Linked DNA regions of Daphnia pulex. The protein of the gene in region 1 purifies or fractionates together with the protein of each later gene. This does not show direct contact. Links are inferred from orthologs where the notes say so. Each region holds a gene or a part of one and is shown on either strand. Other genes may lie near its edges.

The links.
Region 2: the proteins of GTP-binding protein Rheb-like (region 1) and regulatory-associated protein of mTOR-like purify together in Homo sapiens (affinity purification with western blotting, with the first as the bait; 3 studies listed by BioGRID). This does not show direct contact. The link is inferred for Daphnia pulex from reciprocal best matches to the Homo sapiens genes RHEB and RPTOR.

The regions. Positions count from the first base shown.
Region 1 is NC_060021.1:5,202,102-5,211,611, forward strand, and holds GTP-binding protein Rheb-like, read left to right. Parts: upstream 1-5,509; 5' UTR 5,510-5,651; exon of another isoform or gene 5,652-5,667; intron 5,668-5,727; 5' UTR 5,728-5,866; coding exon 5,867-5,921; intron 5,922-5,981; coding exon 5,982-6,053; intron 6,054-6,120; coding exon 6,121-6,328; intron 6,329-6,403; coding exon 6,404-6,533; intron 6,534-6,613; coding exon 6,614-6,706; 3' UTR 6,707-6,862; downstream 6,863-9,510. Other genes in the region: transcription factor SPT20 homolog, read left to right, coding at 1-146, 193-287, 2,715-2,978, 3,373-3,558, 3,638-3,883; cullin-associated NEDD8-dissociated protein 1-like, read right to left, coding at 7,238-7,327, 7,405-7,512, 7,581-7,756, 7,827-7,992, 8,076-8,204, 8,267-8,716, 8,769-9,073, 9,165-9,430 and 1 more. UniProt on the Homo sapiens protein: Small GTPase that acts as an allosteric activator of the canonical mTORC1 complex, an evolutionarily conserved central nutrient sensor that stimulates anabolic reactions and macromolecule biosynthesis to promote cellular biomass generation and growth.
Region 2 is NC_060017.1:2,263,068-2,273,303, forward strand, and holds the start of regulatory-associated protein of mTOR-like, read left to right. Parts: upstream 1-3,955; 5' UTR 3,956-4,194; coding exon 4,195-4,380; intron 4,381-4,516; coding exon 4,517-4,619; intron 4,620-4,689; coding exon 4,690-4,811; intron 4,812-4,882; coding exon 4,883-5,314; intron 5,315-5,385; coding exon 5,386-5,694; intron 5,695-5,765; coding exon 5,766-6,074; intron 6,075-6,128; coding exon 6,129-6,536; intron 6,537-6,609; coding exon 6,610-6,762; intron 6,763-6,825; coding exon 6,826-7,129; intron 7,130-7,194; coding exon 7,195-7,331; intron 7,332-7,393; coding exon 7,394-7,488; intron 7,489-7,551; coding exon 7,552-7,633; intron 7,634-7,708; coding exon 7,709-7,873; intron 7,874-7,942; coding exon 7,943-8,049; intron 8,050-8,113; coding exon 8,114-8,230; intron 8,231-8,298; coding exon 8,299-8,726; intron 8,727-8,793; coding exon 8,794-8,959; intron 8,960-9,039; coding exon 9,040-9,165; intron 9,166-9,228; coding exon 9,229-9,433; 3' UTR 9,434-10,164; and 2 more. Other genes in the region: protein SMG5-like, read left to right, coding at 1-856, 923-1,068, 1,141-1,295, 1,351-1,409; uncharacterized protein PB18E9.04c-like, read right to left, coding at 1,634-3,168, 3,228-3,315, 3,375-3,551. UniProt on the Homo sapiens protein: Component of the mechanistic target of rapamycin complex 1 (mTORC1), an evolutionarily conserved central nutrient sensor that stimulates anabolic reactions and macromolecule biosynthesis to promote cellular biomass generation and growth.

The DNA.
Region 1 (9,510 bases):
CGCCAAAAGTGTAGCTGAACAAGATCCGTATGATCTTGAGGTCCTTCGCTCGGTAGAACAAGGAGATTCCAGAGATTTTAGTGAACATTTTTCTGGTGAAGGCGGTGCTCACTTTTTTGCGTTTGTTAAAATAGCTGATGCAGAAGGTAACCAACGCTTCGTTCAAAAGACAATGATCTTTTTGGTTTCTAGAACAACAAACTAAGAAATTGAGCAATAACTGTACTTTACGTGTCGCCATTTCATGCCATTATGCAGCTTCATTTCCTGACTCTCGAAAAATGATCGTAAGAATCGGAGACTGGTGTTTATTTGAAACTCCTCTCGGAAAAAATAGGAATTATTTGTTTTTACTAGGACGTACAATTCCAATTTTGTTCAGGAAATAAACAAAAGCTGATATACGAATGGCAAATGGGTATAAAGACAAGAAAGCCGATGAATACATTTGTGTGAATTGTACATGGTATAAATTTGATGGCCAAACCAGAATTAGAAAAACAATATCTTCAACGGGAAGTAAATTAGCCGTTATTGCCCATGCCTTTCACCCGTTTTATAGCTACATCTGCAGTCTCCCTCCACCATCAATTCCGTCATGTAATAACGTCGTGTATCGAGAAGATATTGTACATGCTAATACACCTTTCTTATAAAATTTAAAGTAAATACCCTGCAACTGCTCAATATCTGCGAATACAAAATATTTTTGTACATTCAATCGGTAAATACGAAAATGGGGAAATTCTGAGAAAATTTGTGAAATTAAATGGAAACAAGGGAAAACCTGGGAAAAATAGGGGGAAAATGGTTAAAGTAGCAACTGGAAAAAAATTGGAAAAAATTCGTAAAATTCGAAAAAATTCGAAACAATTTGAAAAAAGGGGAAAAAAAGGGAAAATGGGAAAAGGAGGGGAAACATTTTTGCCAATTTTCCCCTTGGTTCACTTAGTAAATGAGTCGGCGACCCCTCGCATAATTCCTCTTTTTTTAGGCAAGTAACACTATCAGTCGGTTTACTTATTATTCTGCAATCCAGAATCGTGATATCAAAGAAGCCGTTGCCGATAATGAGTGGGCCAATTTGCAGTCGTTGCGAACGACAAATCAATCTTTTTGCTGATGCGGACAAATTTCGAGCACACAATTAAAATTTCGAGCAGAAGCTACTGAAATTTCAGAGTAAAAATAAGTGTACTAAACAGTAGTACAAGCGACGCCAAGAACGATGCATTTTTTACCACTTTACAGCTTTACTTAATTACTTACAACTTACAATTAAAAGTGCAATTAAATTTCCTTAGTTTTTTAAACCTTACATGCGAAGCGTTTTATCATTAAAAGGCGCTTAGTCTGACTTGGAACTTGAAAGACAAATAAACGTGTCAAAAAAATCAATCGTTCTTATAAGGTGCGGTTTTTGTCTTTCTATAAGCATACAAAGGAATACAAAAATATTTAAACATAAATCAAACATGGATCAAATGTATCAAACATAAATCAAACCAAATCATACACTGATTTAAAAAAACAATGTTTTTCACAGCGATTAAAAATCAAACCACATCTAACAGAGATCAAACACAATAAAACGATTGAAAATTAATGAAATAGTGATGACGTCAAAGGTAAAGTTATACTTAATAACAATTGCTGAAATAAAATGTAAAAAAATTGCAAAAAAATTATTTAAAAAAAAAAAACAGGTAATTTAGCAAAAATGTGGAAATTAAACGGAAAATCTAGTATACAGAAAAATTCAACGATCGCGGAAGAACATTAATCCCACGTTGCGTACTATAGAGTTGAGTAGTGCATGAATAAAGAGGTTTCGCACAACTTCATTTACTTTCTAATAGTATTTTTCAATGAGCACGAGCTTAATCACTTACCTTACCTTTATAATTTTCCACTTACCTACCTAATTAGGAAGCACCATTGCTTGTTCTCGAATGGGATAGTCGGCTGGTCGCCGTGCACGATTTTAGCTAAGCTTTTTTTCAAACGACAAAAAATTCAAAAAAAGACAAGTCCAGCAAAGACTACATAACACTATCCGAAGACGTATTTTTAAAAAAACAGAAAAGGAAGGGAAATCCACAAGTCGTAGCATGCAGTTGAAGATTTAAACCCACATTTTCGGAGACACATGGGGAGACGGTAAAAAGAAGGAAACACAAGTCGTAGCATGCAGTTAAAAATTCAAACCAACATTTTCGGACAATAACAATTACTTTTTCGTTAAATCGCATTTTTCTTCTTGAATAAATTTTAAAATTAAACATCGTTATACCGACCTTACTCATGGGTGTGCCTATCAAACTCGTAACAGAAGGGTTTTATTAATTGCTGGATCCACCATGACAGATGAGAGAATATCCTTTGTATTTAAAATAAATAAAATTTCAGCAGTTTTTTTTTTAAGTTTGAACCAATTGGAACCAACATATCGCTCTGGCATTGAGTACCAGTTTAATAATGCTGTAGTACACAACACATGGTATTTTGATACGGTATGTATTTATATTTTGGTTATGTATTCATCATATCTTGCCTTCACTTCATCTTACTAACCTTTACATCAAACCCCGATTGTTGGTCCTGGCTGGGGTGGAAGAAGAGTGGAGTTGATGTTGCTCTACCACTCTCTCCCAAGAGAAAAAAGGAAACGCAATCGTGAACGCCAAAAGCTGCGACAACGCCAACGCTCTTAGCAACAACAGCAACATATGAACCAAAACCAACGTCCTCAACAACAACATCAGGTGCGACAACGCCAACGCTCTCAGCAACAACAGCAACTTTTTAACCGGAACCATCGCCCTCAACAACAACATCAGGTGCGCTCAATCTCAATAGATTCTCTTAACGTTCTTGACTCCAATGGGAGACCTGATGTAAATATGCCTGACCAGAGATACCATGCGGGTGAGGAACCAATCTTCATCAAAAGCTGCAAACTCTTTGAAGGCGGCAAGGTCAGCACGCGCTGAAACAGTTTGCCAAACGTTTGTGATCAGCATCAGGTGAGCAGCACACGCCGAGTCGTGCTAAGTCAAAAATGGTGATTTCCATGCAAGATATTGCAAAAGCGGGAGTTGTGAATGGAAGTAGTTATCATCAAAGAAAGATTCAACATTTCAAAGCCTTACTGTTACAACCCCTCAGTTTTGTAGAACAATGCAATGCACACAGAGAGATTCAACGCAGTTTGAAAGTTCTGGATCCCCTGTATCGTCCTGGATTTTATTATCTTTTTAACAACGCTGTTGTTCAATATTCGTGGGCTTTCCCTCACCACCTGGTACATTATATTTTCACCTTGTTAACAACAATTTCACTTTCTTAACTTATGTTTTCATCCTTCAATAGTATCCACCAATTGAAGGGTTTGGATGGGGACCCAGGAAAACAACTTTGATGTGGCAATACTATTCATTACCTAAGGAGCCTAATTATCGTCGAGCTGTCCATTTTCATGCTACACATTCTCAACATTTTCAAACTCGTGGAACATCCACTCAACAATTCCCACCTGTTCAACAGTTTCATGCTCGAGCAAATTTCAATAATCAACATTCCCATATTCATGCCATTCATGCCCAACATTCCAATACCGACATACCAACTTGTTCAGTATTTGCCTCAACACACTCCTCAACCGCCCCATAACATTCCTCAACAAAATCTATACTCCCTACAACAACAACCACAACAAACACGATTTTTCCTACAACCACCACGTCTCATTCTACGGGAGCCACAACTAAGGGAGCAACAACAACAACACGAGCAACAACAACGGGACTCTCAACAACAACGGGAGCCACAAATTGATCCGCGTCGTCAGTTACAGCGTATACAACTGGCGTACATGTATTGAACAGTGAAGGTGTTGAGCCGAATTTCACATTGGTCACCGGTGAAGAGTTCATGGAAAAAACTAAACCCTATGTGCCAACTGACTTTGTGGGATTCCCCACTTCGAGAGAAGCAACAGTTGAGGGATACGTTTCCGGAATGACTAAAGGTAACTAAATTTCCTATACATTTTCTTAAAAGAAAAAGAAAATTATAATATTTAATAATTTAGAATCAGGATCGAGACTCATACGACCTACTCAAGCTAGGAAGAAGCAAAAGTAAACAGCTGAAAACTGACTATTTTTCTTCTATTTTTCATTTTTTTTTTTTGTGTACATGCGGAATTTTTTGGCGTTAAACTCCACTTTGCGTTGCTGTGGCGATGACGTTGCCCGTCTTTTTTGTTCTTCTTGTTGGTCATCCTTTTTCCGGCCGCTCCTGCCCGGTCCCTCCAAAATACTGACTGCGGTACTGTGTACAGTGCCAGTACTCCATATGCTCATGTTTGTGCTCCCTCCATTACTCGCCGACCTTTTCAACTTTTTTCAGTATTTGCCTCAACACACTCCTCAACCGCCCCATAACATTCCTCAACAAAATCTATACTCCCTACAACAACAACCACAACAAACACGATTTGTCCTACAACCACCACGTCTCATTCTACGGGAGCCACAACTAAGGGAGCAACAACAACTAAGGGAGCAACAACAACGGGACTCTCAACAACAACGGGACTCTCAACAACAACGGGAGCCACAAATTGATCCGCGTCGTCAGTTCGAGCGTCAAAATGATGAAGATAATAGATGAGAACAACTAAGAGAAGAACATCAACGTCGCCAGCGAGAAAGCAAACTGGACATACAACACCGTAGGCGCAATTACGAATAATTTTACTTCAAATTGAAATAAAACACAGAAATTGTACTACTGCATTGCTACTAAACAAATAAAATTTTTCAACTCCTCAACTTTCACTTAATCAATACAGTAGACTAAGGGCTCATTCAGTTGTACGATAAGAAGGATAAACGATAAGTCTTCACTCACTATTGTTATCTTAGCATCAGCTGGTTGTTGGAAATTGACGTAGGCATAGCCAAGTGATCATGTCTCTGCATACTCCATGCTGTGACCACATGATACCAATTGGTCTTCCCCGAAGGACATGAAAGTTCATAATGTCTAGGGCTCATTCAGTTGTGCAATAAGAAGGATTAACGAAATCGAATTAGTTTGACGAAATTCTCATGGTAAGTTTTTCCATTTACAGTTTCGGCTTTGGTAATATCTGGCATTGAAATTACCATTTTCGACTTGCCACGATTCGGCGTGTGCTGATCACGTGCAAACCTTCGGCAAACTGTTTCAGTGTGTGCTGATTCACGTGCAGAAGTTTGCTCGCCATCTAGCGCTCGATCTGTAAGTTCAGAAAAACAAAACAGTTTGCAGAGCATAGTAAAAAACTTGTTTGGGACAGTCGCTATAGACGGAGTCTCTGTTTGGTATTTTTTACATGTAATATTATTTAGATTTGAGTGTAAAGTTCATTTAAGATGCGTATTATAAATTTATAATTTAAACTCTAATTTATTTATATTTTATTTAAATTTTATACGCATATTTGTTATCTCCACAACAGTACTTGTTGCAACGCTGTAATCAGTAAAGAAGCTGTCCAACTAACTAAACAGAAAACACGTTATTTTGATCCGTAAAAATCTTTTCTTGTATTGCAAAAGAAAAATCTAAAAGGAAACGTTTTAGCAGCACAGAACAAGAAGGTATTAAACTTACTTGGTATTTATAATGAACTTAATGAAGTACCTTATGAAAATATTTTTTAAATGCTGTTGCAAGTGGTGGCCATTGATTTCTTTCACCATTCCTTATTGAAAGTATATGCTTTGAAATATAAGTGTTGTTTGTATTTTGTAGTGCATGACGTAAGAAGCACTCGCCATACATACTTGCATAACTTGGGAAATACTAGTCCAACATGCCACCTCAAAGAAAACAGAGGAAGATTGCAATTATGGGCTACCGCTCAGTTGGTAAGTTGTTGCAGTTGAAAGATCATGTTAGATTATTTTTTATAATTTTCATTTACCTAGGAAAATCTTCACTGACCATCCAATTTGTTGAAAATCAATTTGTTGATTCTTATGACCCTACAATTGAAAACAGTATGCTCCTTGTTTGTGTTGTAAAGGAACACTGTTTAATTTTTGTTTTGTCTTGACTGAAATCCAGCCTTCACCAAACCATGGAAAGTAAGAGGGCAAGATTTTGAGCTAAAGTTGGTGGATACTGCTGGTCAAGATGAATATGCTATTTTCCCAGCTCAACATTCAATGGACATGCATGGTTATGTACTTGTATATTCCATTACTTCAGTTCAAAGCTTTGAGCTGTTACAAGTTTTGCTAGAAAAGATTATGGATATGACTGGTAAAATCACGTAAGTTTCTCTAAGGTAGCATTTCATCACTCAATAATTTTATGTCTGACAACCAGTTTCTTTTCATCACTATAGAATACCTCTTGTTATTGTTGGTAATAAAACAGACCTTCACCGTGAAAGAGTAGTCAGCACAGAAGAGGGCAAAAGGCTTGCCGACACTTGGAAAGCCTCATTTTATGAAGTTTCTGCTAGGTCACACGAGGTATGCTGATTAATATTCATTTGGAGATTTGAAATTGTACTTTCTATTAAGAATTTTTTTTTTTTTCCTTTCATCTCTAGTCTGTCTGCGAAATTTTTAACCGACTGATAACGGAAATGGAGAAAGCAGATAGCAGTAATGGAAACGAAAAGAGCAGTTGTGTTCTGTCCTGAACGGGTATGAAATGTAGAAAAATCTACCAGCGCCAATTTTTTTCCCTTCTAATATTACGCAGTTTTTCATAACGACCGTTATCTCGGTTTCTTGGATTTGTGAAGCAACGTTGAAAAGCTTTCATGGTGAGCGAAATACATTTATCATTTGTACTATGTAAGTGGTTCTTATCTTGTATAAACGATGTTCACCAAATTTAGGTTTTGAACATTAAATACGATTAACATTTTGCAGGAAAGTTGTATTTCTCGATTTTGAATATCTAAAATGACATGGGGGAAAAGATGAAATAACGCAACAGATCTTTTTTTCTCAGAAAAAGATACACACCGTGCTGAAAAGTGCATCGTAGTGGAACTGAACTTAAACAATGTTCAACGCATCCGTTCAAGAAGAATGGTTAATACATGTACCCCTACTTCCCTTTCATCCACCATAGACATTTCAAAGAAAAGAACGAAACAATGTTTCATTCGTGACAATTCCCCGATCCGATTTTTTCGATAATAGATACATAATTATACACCACTTTAACTTAAATCCATGTTCGAATCACTGGATCCACCTGCAGCATTTCCATGATGTCCGGAGCCATCTTTCTGGATCGAGTCGAAAAGAGTCTGAAAATGGTAAGTGTAAAAATTTTAAGTTTAGGCGAATAGTACGTGCTGGTTTTTGGCAGTTGTTATTTAGTTACCTGAAGATCGGGTGATGAACGAATATGCAGAACGAACTCGTTAAGTTGTGGATTTTTGTCCGAATCAGGAATGATCAGCAATGCAGTCACGGCTCGCATGGCAGATCGCTATTTTAAATATTTCGTTTGATTACCAATTCATTTGATTCGGTTCTATAAAGTAATAAATCAATCACCTTAAGTTCATTTTGCATTTCATATTCTTGTTTGACTGCATTCGCCTTAACTCTAGCCGTGCAAGTAGTTCGTAGGGGTTCGACTAATCGATCGAGGCGTTGAAGAACGGCAGTAGGACACAACGTGGCCAGACGGGCAACCATTAAATAAGTCAGCATTTTGATGTCGTTGTGATCTGTAAGAAGTTGTAAATGAACGTGAGCTGTAAGTAACATCGTTTTTGTTCCAAGAAACAAAACACCAACCTTTCAATCCCAGTTCAACGTGATTCAAAAATTCGAAAACATCCAATCGATCAAGACATGAATCCAGAAGGGTATACATGCATTCGAAAGCGGCTTTACGAAGGTCAAGACCATCGTCAACGGTGTGCTTAAAGGGACCCATTTCCACTTCGCGGACCAACTCTTTCTAAAAATTATAATTAGTTATAATTTTTTTTTATTTAGCATATTTTAGTTTTAAGAAATTGATTCCATCACTAGAATACTTACTCTGACTTTGGTTTCGTTATAGAGCTGAGGCAAAACGGAATCGAGTAAGTCTCGGACCAAGGAAGGCTTGTTGTGTGCTGCCGAATTAAAGGCAATTAATGCCACTCGTCGCACATTCAAGTCATCATCCTATTACAGAATCAATTAAATACTGATCCGTTCTAATCAACCCCAATGAAATTGATCATTACCTGTAAGGTTTGAAGGAAATCGCCCATACATTGCTTCAGCAGAGGATCAATGGACTGGACTTGATCAGAAATTGTGAATTTGGCTGCTGTGACGATCGTGGTTCTCATCAACGCACTAGGGCTGTTCAGAGCTGCTCGAAGTCGTGGAAGCAATCCCTCTGGGTCTGTGAGAGTAAGCTTTCCCAAACACTCCGCCACAACATTGCGTGTTCCTTCTTCGTTACACTCGCAGTGACGGAAGAGAAGATCCCAAATTTGGGGTACGAAAGGGCGCAGTTGTGCAATGGCCTCGGTTCCAAGTGACAGCGAAGTAATCACTTCCTTTAACGAGTGGAGCAACAAATACTGACGCCGTGATTGAGTTTCAATCTGAGTAAGAATGAAGGGCAAGAAAGCTGGAAGATTTCCCACTGCTACTGAACCGAGGGCGTGCGAAGCTGCAGATTTTACCTAAAGAAAACGGATATAGATTGATGTTGACGTTAGAAAAGATTAGAAATACTTCTTCATTTGGTGGGCCGAAGGAATCGATGATTGCTTGTCCCAACCCTGGGACTTGGTGAAGATCCATTCTTTTGCCAATTTCTCCCATGCAGAGCAGGGCAAAGATGTGTTGCCAATCAGAATGAGGTCTCTGAGCTTCCTGAAGAAAATTCTGTACCAAAGTAAAAGCTTCAGAAACAGGTTGCGTCACAACCAGTGAAGCAACAGCCTGGGCGACAGAATGATGGGCAGTCTTGTGGAGACCAGGTTTTGACGCCAAATTCATCAGACACATCAACAAATCGCGGTAGCCAAGACCAGATCCTGAATGGAAAGTAAAAGTGAACAGTTAATATTGTTAATAAGTTGTCTTCTAAGTAATACAGTTGAAATTAAGAGAAAAAAAATCACTAACCCGGAGCATTAAACTCGACCAAAGCCTGTAGGAAATCGAGAAGGGATCCCAGAGCCACACCTTGAAGCAAAGGTGAGCGCAAGAGATTGAAGACTTCGGACAAAATGCCTCCATTAACTCCACCGGTTTGAAACGCCGAACGCTGATTCCGCGCAACAGAAGTGAGCAAATGAAGGGTTAGCTGCGCGATGTGCAAATCAGATTCCGACAGCAGAGGCGGTATTTCGGTTAAAACCGCATGCAGTAGTTCCGGTGTTAGCGCAGCGCTAAAAAAAAAACAAAGAAAGAGAAGTCTTAAAGGGAACCAAGAGGAAAAACATAAAACTTTTAAGTAAGTTATTACCTG
Region 2 (10,236 bases), on another chromosome or scaffold:
CGCTAAACTGAGAAGAAGAAAAATTGGATCTGGATCGTCTGATCAAGAATTTTCAGAGGAAGAGATATTTTTAGAAAGTAACTCTGAGCAGGATTCTGAAGAAGAAGAAGAAGTTTTATCCGATTCTGGTTTTCATTCAGCTGAAGCTAAACTTGAACCGCTCATTGAAATCCCGTCAGAAGCTGTATCTCTTTTGCCGATTTTTAAACTCTTGACTGATTGGTTACAAGCCAATGTTCAGGTTGTTCAAGTATCAAATCAATCCATTCGAAAAATGTGGGCAACACTAGCTACCATCCTCAACGTGTTTAAACGCTGTCAGAAAGAAGATGTTGATCAGTACCAAAAAGTTCCTTTAGAAGAAGATTGGAAGCTGTATGGACTGGATTCTATGAGCTTATTCCATGCTCAAATCGATTTTGAGTCTGTTCCTGCACCATCCAACATTTCAATTTTAAATTCTATTCGGATCGAAAGAATTCTCCAATTTGGCAATTGGTTGGCAAGTCAAGGCAACGAAAAAAGTTTCCGACTGGAAAACGGAATTTACATGTGTCCATCCGAAGCAACTAAAGATGAATCCCAGGAACTGGGAATGAAAGCAGATCTCATGATGAGAAACATGGCACACTTGTGGTTGAAGTCAGAAGTACAAGAGCTTGAACGGAGACTCTCACCTCAATTCAAAAGAAAAAAAAAGACAAACTTCGATCTTTCCACTTTATCTTATGTCTATTTGGTACCGGACGTCTCTGCTCTTTCAGATTTTACTCACCTCATAAAACAAGTGATCAAAAGCCAAAAGCTGATTGTAGTAGTACCTGATATTGTCATCTCGGAAATTGATCAACTCAAAGTATTTTCATTTACTTGATTGTTGATCTTACAGCATTTAATGATTTTTTTTTCTCTTGTTATACAGAGGGAAAGCTCTTCTGTTCGGGAATGCATTCGGTGGCTAGAAACCTGCTTTCGTACCGGCAATCGCTTTATTAGAGCACAGCGTCAAAACGAACACCAAGTCATCCCATTATTGACTTATCCGAAACGAAAAGATAAAGCCAACTGGTGAGCACACGAGCCATCTTTCTTAACTCCTAAGTGCTATTGATAATGATTAACCTTCTGGTTTTCTTTAAGGACATTGTTCCAAATACTGGAATGCTGCTGTTACCTGGATACAAACCAGAGAAACGTTTATAAAACTAGCCAGAATTCGCCCATTGTACTGTTTTTGTCCGGCAACACGGCTGAAGACACGGATCAACAAACCAGAGGGATTTGTAATTCGATTGGTAAGCACACATTTCAAAAATTATGTTAACCGAAAATTAAACATCTTTATTTTAGGTGTTGAATTTAAAACTGCAAATTCGTTGATGAAGAAAAGTAAGACGAAAAAACGCTGATACCGTCATGTATAACATTGAATTACGTATTACGTAGCCATATGTGTTTTGATTATTTGCTTGTATTGTAAGAAAAACATTTTGTTTCTCACTCTCCTCGAGTTTTAACCATGGACAATACTGAAACATCAAGAAGTAAACCGTAACTAAAATAATGAAGAAACCGTGGGGAAGTAACTTATGTTAAAACAAACACAAACAGCGCTGCCTTTCAAGTGAAGTAATTAAGAAGTTTGAGTTTCAGCGTCACGGATTTTGACTTTTCGAATAACGGTACGACAACGACAATGATGAGTGCATCTACCGTTAAATTTCTTGCGAACTGAAGTTTTCCAAGAAGCAACGCTTTGTTTTCTTTTTCGAGTAGTAAACTTTGGATTAGCTTGGTTATTACTATTTTCATTGGCGTTTGTAGTTCCGTCCTGGGGATGAATGAGGGAATGAACAGGATAGGTTGTGACCATTTTGCTAGATGATTGGACTAGACTAATAGCTTCTTCTTTGCAATATTCGTGTTGCTCTGATACAATTCCCTCTGTGATCACAACAGCGTGTTCTTGCTTAGGGGGCGACACGTATTTTGAGAAGTCCATTGACGACCCATTTGGAAATGATGTGCCAGGAATAGAAGTATTCAAGTTAGAAGTCTCTTTCATAGGAACAACTGTGTTATTTACAATAACTTTCATTTTCTGAAGGGGAACGGATGAGGATGACGCAAATTGCACGCGCCGTTGTTGAGCAGGAGTGACGACTAACGGCGGAAACATCGACCAGTTTACTTGAGCAGAATTATTATGATTATCAACGTTCGATCCAATGGGAGTTGTTTGAGAAGGTATTGTCGTTTTTGTGTCGTTAATCGATGTGGAGCACGGCAAATACTGAAGGGGAGAATCTTTCATTCCAGGGATGCGTTGATCTTTTGTTGAAAATCCGACGAGGTTCTCCTGGTGTGTTGCTGTAGTAGTAGAGCCCAAAGTTGGTGTTGGGTAGTGAAAATGTTGGTTTACATAATAAGGTCTGGGAGTTGAACAACCGGCAATGGAGGTGACAAGGGTATCTTTATTGCGTGGTGCATACACGCTAGAATCGTCATACTGCTCTCTGGCTGGAGTCGAGACATTAGCTTGATTCTCTTCAGAAAAGTTCTTTACTCTATGCTCAGCTGTACTACTTTCTTGGTCAGAAGTATAGAAATGAACTTGTTTTCGTTGAGCAGGAGTGACGTCTACTGGAACAAACATTGAGCGATTTTTTGTTGAAGGAGCTTCTCGATTATCTGTTTGAGTTCGATTCTTAAAAATTGAGTTTTCTTGTATTATGACTGGTTCGTCGGTAAGGGGTGTCAAGTACGGTAAATTGTGAAGGTTGGAATTATCCCAATTTTGTTGACAAAAACGTCGATCTTTGCTTGAATGTCTTACAGTGTTCTCGCGATGTATGACGGGAGTTAGAAAACTCAAATTTGGTGTTGAAGAGTAAGGATTTGGGTTGAGATAAGGTGGAGAAGGACATTCAACATTTGAGTTGCTGAGAAATGAACTACATCCTGACGGTGAACTTTCTTGTAGTAAAAGAACCTCACCAGGGTTTGAATCCTCATAAAGTTCATTAACCTTGTGACTTAATGGAACTTTTGTTTGTTCCTCTTCAGATGTGCTTGTTATGTGATGCTCAGCTGTACTTTCCTGGTCTAATGAAACAGGACTATATTTTGTACTTATTGATATGTCATCATTGCCAGATCCTTCAGTATCTATATAGAGTAACACAATTATTTGAAATTTTTTAATCGAGTAATGTATTGATGTAGACCTGATGAAGATCCACAAGGAATGTTGTGAAATGGAGTTCCAATCCCAAAATGACGTATTGAGATATCATCATTTGAAACTGCCTCTACCTGCAAAATACATATTTAATAAATACTCCCATCTTTAGTGTCATTAAATTGGCTGTTACTTTAGGAGGAATCATTGTAAACTTCTGTCCATTGATTGGGGAAATCTGACCGGTTTGTTCAAGATCGTCATGCTTCACGAGGTCAACGAGAATTATGCGACTCTGTTGTTGAAAGGCAGTTTTACGAATCTCAGTATTTAGCCGGAAACGGTGTTTGGATCCACCACTCCAGTTCATTTCTTTTTACTTCAATGTGACAATTAGAAAGCGAATACACAATTATTCATGTAATTTTCAATGGCTTTTGGCTTTCAAAAGCGTCCTTCATGACCAAGAATTTTCATGGAAATTCGGTCTGTTTTGGCGCCGCAGCCGGCGCTATTGAAGAGACATCTGTTAAGAGAGGCGTAACCTCCTTAGTAACCAGAGTACCAGACAGACTTTTTCCGTAAATTTTGTTTTTGGTGACATTTAAGGGGAATGGTGGGCCAGAGAGTAAACATACTAAAAAAAACAGACACATGAATTATATATAAGTTTATAATAAGGAAAAAAATTGGGGTGTATACGATTACGAATTCTGTGGGCCTGTGGCGTGCCTGTGGCATGAGAATGATGAGATAGCTTCCATTTTATGTCGAATAGAAAATGGCAACCTTGTGTAGTTGTGTTGGATTCATTTTTTCGTCGTAAAAAATAAACCAAAATCCGTCTGCACTCACACAACAAGAGAAACAATTTGAATTCGTGTCGTAATAATATGAATATATTGTCACTTCCAGTCGGGTGAATGTGTAGCTCATCAAGAGTTCGTTTTGTTTTGTGGTTTTTCAGATTTATCTAAATTTTTGGATAAGAAATCTGATAAATCGTTGAATAGATGACCATGTCGGGGGAGCTCTCGGTTTTCCAGCGTGCTCCATCACGTTCACCTTCTCCCGATGAACAGGGCCAAGATGAAGAAGATGAAGATTGGGCGATTGGATTAGCATTTTCTTCAGAAAGGCACACAGATAAAATTGAAGGATTAGAGGATTGTGCTCAAAACTGGAGATTAAAGGATCGGGTAACCCATGCATTTATTAAGTTACCTTTCCCGTCCAAAATCAAAATTTAAATAGCATTTTGTAATTTTTTCTCCACACAATTGTGCATGTACGGCTTAATAAAATAGGATTTCTTTTATTTTTTTTAAATTCAAGATGAAAACAGTAAGTGTGGCATTGATATTATGCCTTAATGTTGGAGTAGATCCTCCAGATGTAGTTAAAACTCAGCCCTGTGCAAGGCTAGAATGCTGGATAGGTATGTGATTTGTAAAGGGTTGTGTGTGTAGTGTTGTTGCTTTTTTAATGCAATTTTCCTCAATGTGTAGATCCTTTGTCTATGAGTCCACAAAAAGCATTAGAAGCAATTGGCATCAACCTTCAGAAGCAATATGAGAGGTGGCAGCCCCGTGCTCGCTACAAGCAAACTCTAGATCCTACCGCTGATGAGGTACAACCGAAAAATTCTTGTTTGTTTAGAAAAGAATAATTGTGATTAATGTTGTAATTCATAAATGTCAGATTAAAAAAGTAACATCTACTCTCCGAAGAAATGCTAAAGACGAAAGAGTGCTGTTTCACTACAATGGGCATGGCGTTCCGAAACCAACTGCCAATGGAGAGATTTGGGTCTTCAATCGCAGTTATACGCAATATATACCGCTCTCGATTTACGACCTACAAACTTGGATGTGGTCTCCGTCAATTTACGTATTTGACTGTTCAAACGCTGGCATGATTGTGGACGCGTTTCAACAGTTCGCGGATCAGCATCAGAGGGAGTACGAACAACTGATGGCTCAATCAAGAAACACATTGCCTTCTCAGATGACACCACCTCCGAATTTCAAACAGTGCATTCAGTTGGCTGCATGCGCAACTAATCAGATTCTTCCTATGAATTCCGAACTGCCAGCTGATATATTTACTGCATGTCTCACAACTCCTATTAAGGTAACTAGAATATGTTTTAAGATAAATTGGAAATTTAATGTACTATTCCATTTTTTCCCCTATATCAAAAGATTGCACTTCGATGGTTTGTTTTACAAAATACTTCCCGTTTGGTGCCCCGAATGACACTTGAATCAGTCGACAAAATCCCCGGGCAGCTTAACGATCGCAGAACTATGCTGGGTGAATTAAATTGGATTTTTACCGCTATAACTGATACGATTGCTTGGAATTCACTTCCACGGGACGTGTTCCAGCGCCTTTTCAGACAAGATCTTCTTGTGGCTAGTCTTTTCCGGAATTTCCTTTTAGCAGAAAGGATACTTAAGTCGTATGACTGCACGCCAGTCTCTTGGCCAAAGTTGCCTCCTACGTCTCAGGTTATTAGGATTTAAAGTTACCTTTTCACATTATTTAAATGTCTTATAATTTCGGCATTCTTTGATTTTAGCACCCAATGTGGTCTGCTTGGGATTTAGCTCTTGACATTTGCCTCTCACAGCTACCAGGCATTTTAGAAGGCAAGGAAACCTTCCAGAATTCCCCTTTTTTTGAGGAACAGTTGACGGCTTTCCAAGTTTGGCTTTCGCATGGGTCACAAAAGAGATCTCCTCCAGAACAACTACCTATTGTTCTGCAAGTTCTTTTAAGTCAAGTTCATCGTTTAAGAGCACTTGAACTCTTGGGGCGATTTTTAGATTTAGGCCCTTGGGCTGTCAATTTGGCGCTGTCGGTCGGCATTTTTCCATATGTTTTAAAGGTTTGCTTTTCTATTTTAATATGTTCTACTCGATAACTGAAATCTTCGTTTTAGTTACTTCAAAGTTCTGCGCGGGAACTGCGCCCATTACTTCTATTTATCTGGACGAAAATTCTTGCTGTTGATGTTACCTGTCAAGCGGATTTAGTCCGTGATGGAGGACACAAATATTTCCTCTCTGTTCTTCAAGATAATTCCGTGCCGGATGATCAGCGCACGCTGGCCGCCTTTGTGATTTCTAGAGTGGTCTGGAATCATCCTATCGGGCAGGATGCTGTTTCTCAAGTAGCTTTTATCTCGAATGCCCTGGAAATGGTCTATGAAAAGGATAAATTACTTAGACAATGGATCGTCATTGGAATTGGCTTAGCTTGGCACAATGCTATAGCTGCTCGTTGGTCGGCAATTCGAGACTCCGCTCATGAGAAACTATTTCCGTTGTTGCGAGATTCTGTTCCTGAGGTATTTACAACATTGTTGATTATATGACATTAAATCTGTCGAATTTCAGTCTTATTTGTTTATGTATGTTAAGGTTCGAGCGGCCACTGCTTATGCCCTAGGAACGTTTATCCATAGTGGAGGAAAGACGGAACGAAATGAACTTGCCAACAAAATTGATCACGCAGTGGCCTTACAACTGGTGAATGTTGTGAACTCGGAAGCTAGTCCTTTGGTTCGCAAAGAGGTATAGTAGCTTCTTTTCGCTTTGGGAATTGAATATTCGTTAAATTTAATTTTCTTTCTAAAGATCGTTGGCGCTCTCCAGTGGATTGTTTTGATATTCGAGTCCACGTTCATTCAAATGGCTGTTCAACAGATAGAAGAGGAAAAGAATAAAGACTCGAACAGTCTCTCTCCAAACGTGGAAGTAACGTTAACTTCTTCTGGTAGTCTACAGAGGCCCACGCGTCGTTCGCGGGCCTCCACATCCAATGCGATGAACCTAGGCACAAGTCCGGAACTATCAGATAGTGGTTTCACCCATTCCACAAACTCCGGGCATCCAGATCATATTAGACGAGCGGTTTCTATTTCCTCTCTCAGTAGCCTTAGTAAGATTTTAATAGTAAGCCAAAAATTGATTAAAATAAAATATTTCTAAATTTTATTTTTGCAGCGAGTTCCACTTTGCCTAGTCTTGCTTTTAACACTATTTACGTCAAACTTTGGCACGGACTTTCAAGCATGGAAAAAGATCCTTACCTGGAAGTCTCTACGATGGCAAAGAAATTAACGGATTATGTGCGGAATAAGGTATTTCCTTTTTAAAAATTACGCAGTTGGTCAGCCACTTAAACATAACATGCATATTTCAGGCTAAAGAAGTGATAGCTTCACGGGAATCAGACGTTAGTCGTCAATATACGTATTCCAATTCGAGTAACGATTCTATGGATAAATCCCTCTACATGTAATGCTGTATACTATTACAATACCTCGTACAAATAACGAATATATTTGAGACTTGTTTCAGTGGGGACTCTCCTCCACGGGCCCTTGTCCAACGCACTACTCCCTCATTCAACAGAATCAGGAAACGAAGCATACCATCTACAGTAATAACATTTTGAACTGGCTTCCTCAACCGAATGTTTCTTACTACTACTCAATTATTATTTATTCGTTGCTAGATTGTGGAAGAAGGTGAAAGTTCCAAAGAGTTGAAGGATCCTTTAGTAGTAACCGGATTTGTCGAATGGTGCGCTCGTCATTTTGCTGAACCAGCTGCGTCTAATGAAGATTTTCAAATCAATATGAAACCCAATCACGAAAAAGAATTAACTATTGAATTCGAAGTACAACCTCAACATGGATTCTATGATTTTTTAGAATTATTATTGATATATTTTTTTGTTCTCAACTAGATATGCGGGAGAACACGTGAACGAGACACTGAAATGTACTACACGCGCGAATGGCGATATACAAGAAATGCTTCCGTTCGCCATGAAGCTAAAGAAGAATGTCAAAGGTGAACTCAATTTCAGGGTTTTTACCTGGTTTTTTAATTTAAAATTCTATGTTTATTTATTTAGACCAAATAAAGCAAAAATGAAAGAGGTTTTCTGCAATCGGAATCCACTGGTACCTTCAGTTATCCGCTTTCATCCCTACGATCCTTGGCTTGCTGTAGCAGATAAAGAAGGATGCACGTAAGAAACAATTCTTTTATGGTGATAAAAGTTTTTCTGTGCTCGACGAAAATTGTTCTATAATGCAGAGTATGGGACTGGGAAAGAAGCGTCCGTCTTGTCCATTTTAACAATCAACAACAACCCAGGGCTGCTCGAATTACATCAATGGATTTTGTGAACGGACATGATGATGCGTTACTTCTTATTGGTGCAGATGATGGGTCGTGCAGAATCTGGCGGGATTTTATTCGAACAGGATCTCGATCAGCAAATGCTGTTGTCGAAGATCACACTGGAGTTTCTCTTGTTTCAGCATGGAACTGTATAGCTGAAATGGCACCATCGACTCGATGTTCCGGTCTGGTTTTGGATTGGAATCAGGATTCTTTACAATTGCTAGCAACAGGCGATGTTCGCTTGATCCGCATTTGGGACGTAGAGCGTGAATTGAAAGTCAGCGACTTTCCTACTGGTTCAGAAAATTGTGTGACCTCCGTTCATCATAACCCGCGAGGTTTTGACCAAGTTTAAGAAATTTATATAATCGTTTGCGCAAATTAAATTGATAATTTTGTCTTCAGATCGATCGCTCTTTGTAGCGTCATGTGGAGACGGATCAGTCCGCCTTTTTGATCAGCGATGCAGCGCTGCAAAATCTAGAGTTATGACTTGGAGGGAGCATGCTGCTTGGGTCATAGATTGCGAATGGATTTCGGTTGAAGGAGGTGCCAACTTAGTGAGTGGCAGGTAACAATCATCTCATCGTATTAATCGTTACATTGTATGAAATTACGTTTGATAACTAATAGTTGTTTTTTTTTCTCAAGTCTGGCGGGTGACATCAAGTTCATGGATCCTAGAAATCCCAACTCGGTTCTCACCGTAGCCACAGCGCCTAATTCGCAAGGAATGACTGCCATGGCAGTCCATCCCAAGGCTAACTTATTTGCTTGGTAAAACAGCTTTTGTGTGGAAAAATGCTTATTTTCACTAACATGCATCGTTTTCATTATTAGTGGAATTGTCGGGCAGTACATTACCGTACACGACCAAGAAGGAGAAGTGCGTTCTACTATCGCGTATCACGACGGCGGTGGTCTTTTGGGCTCCAAAATTGCAGCTGTCTCCTGTTTAACCTTTCATCCACATCGGGTGTGCCTCGCTGCTGGAGGCATGGACTCGATGATTTCTGTTTTTTCTTCAGATAAGTCAAAGAAGTAGAATGGTTTGCTTTTGTTGACTCACCGTCAAGATTCGTCGTTTTCTTTTTTTCTGTTGGAGATTTTTCAATTCGAGCCGCGAGACCTCGCATATGTTAAATACCCAGTTACAAACAATCACTATTGTGAGCGAAAGATTCAAAATGAAGCATCCTCTATATTAATTCATGCACCGAATTAAATTAATTGTGTATCTTAAATGTATTTTTTTTTGTGTGTGAAGCTTCCTGCTGACTTCTTATCAGTTTATTCATTGGGTATGATTTTCATGTTATTATATCGAGCTATGCTCACGTTACACAAGATAAGTTTACATGCCCATGCTGTTTGGGTCGACGTTCTCAATCCATGTGAGTATTGGGTAATACAAAGTAATTGAATACCAAAAACTTTGTCGATGAATTTCCGTCGTCAGAATGTTTAGACGACATTGTTCGACTTAAGTAAAAAAGAAAATGTGATGCTTCGGCTTTGATCTTTCTACCCGTTTATCAGTTGTTGCGATAAGGTTATCGGAACGGAGCTTTTCCGTTGTACTGATCAGCTGGTGGCCAGATCAATCGTTTATGTGTTTGAACGCAGTGAAAACCAACGTCGCATTAGCCTTTGTTAACCTCGTATTGAAAACGGGATTAAGTTGTCAAACTCACCATGAGGATTCCCAGGTTTACTGAGAGCTGGTGTGGCTGTTCTCTTCAAACGGGGACTAAAATTATCAGCATCTTTTCTGTGGTACGTTTGGTACACCTTGTTACATGTAAAACTCTTTTGATGCTTATGATTATGTACATATTATCCTTAGGT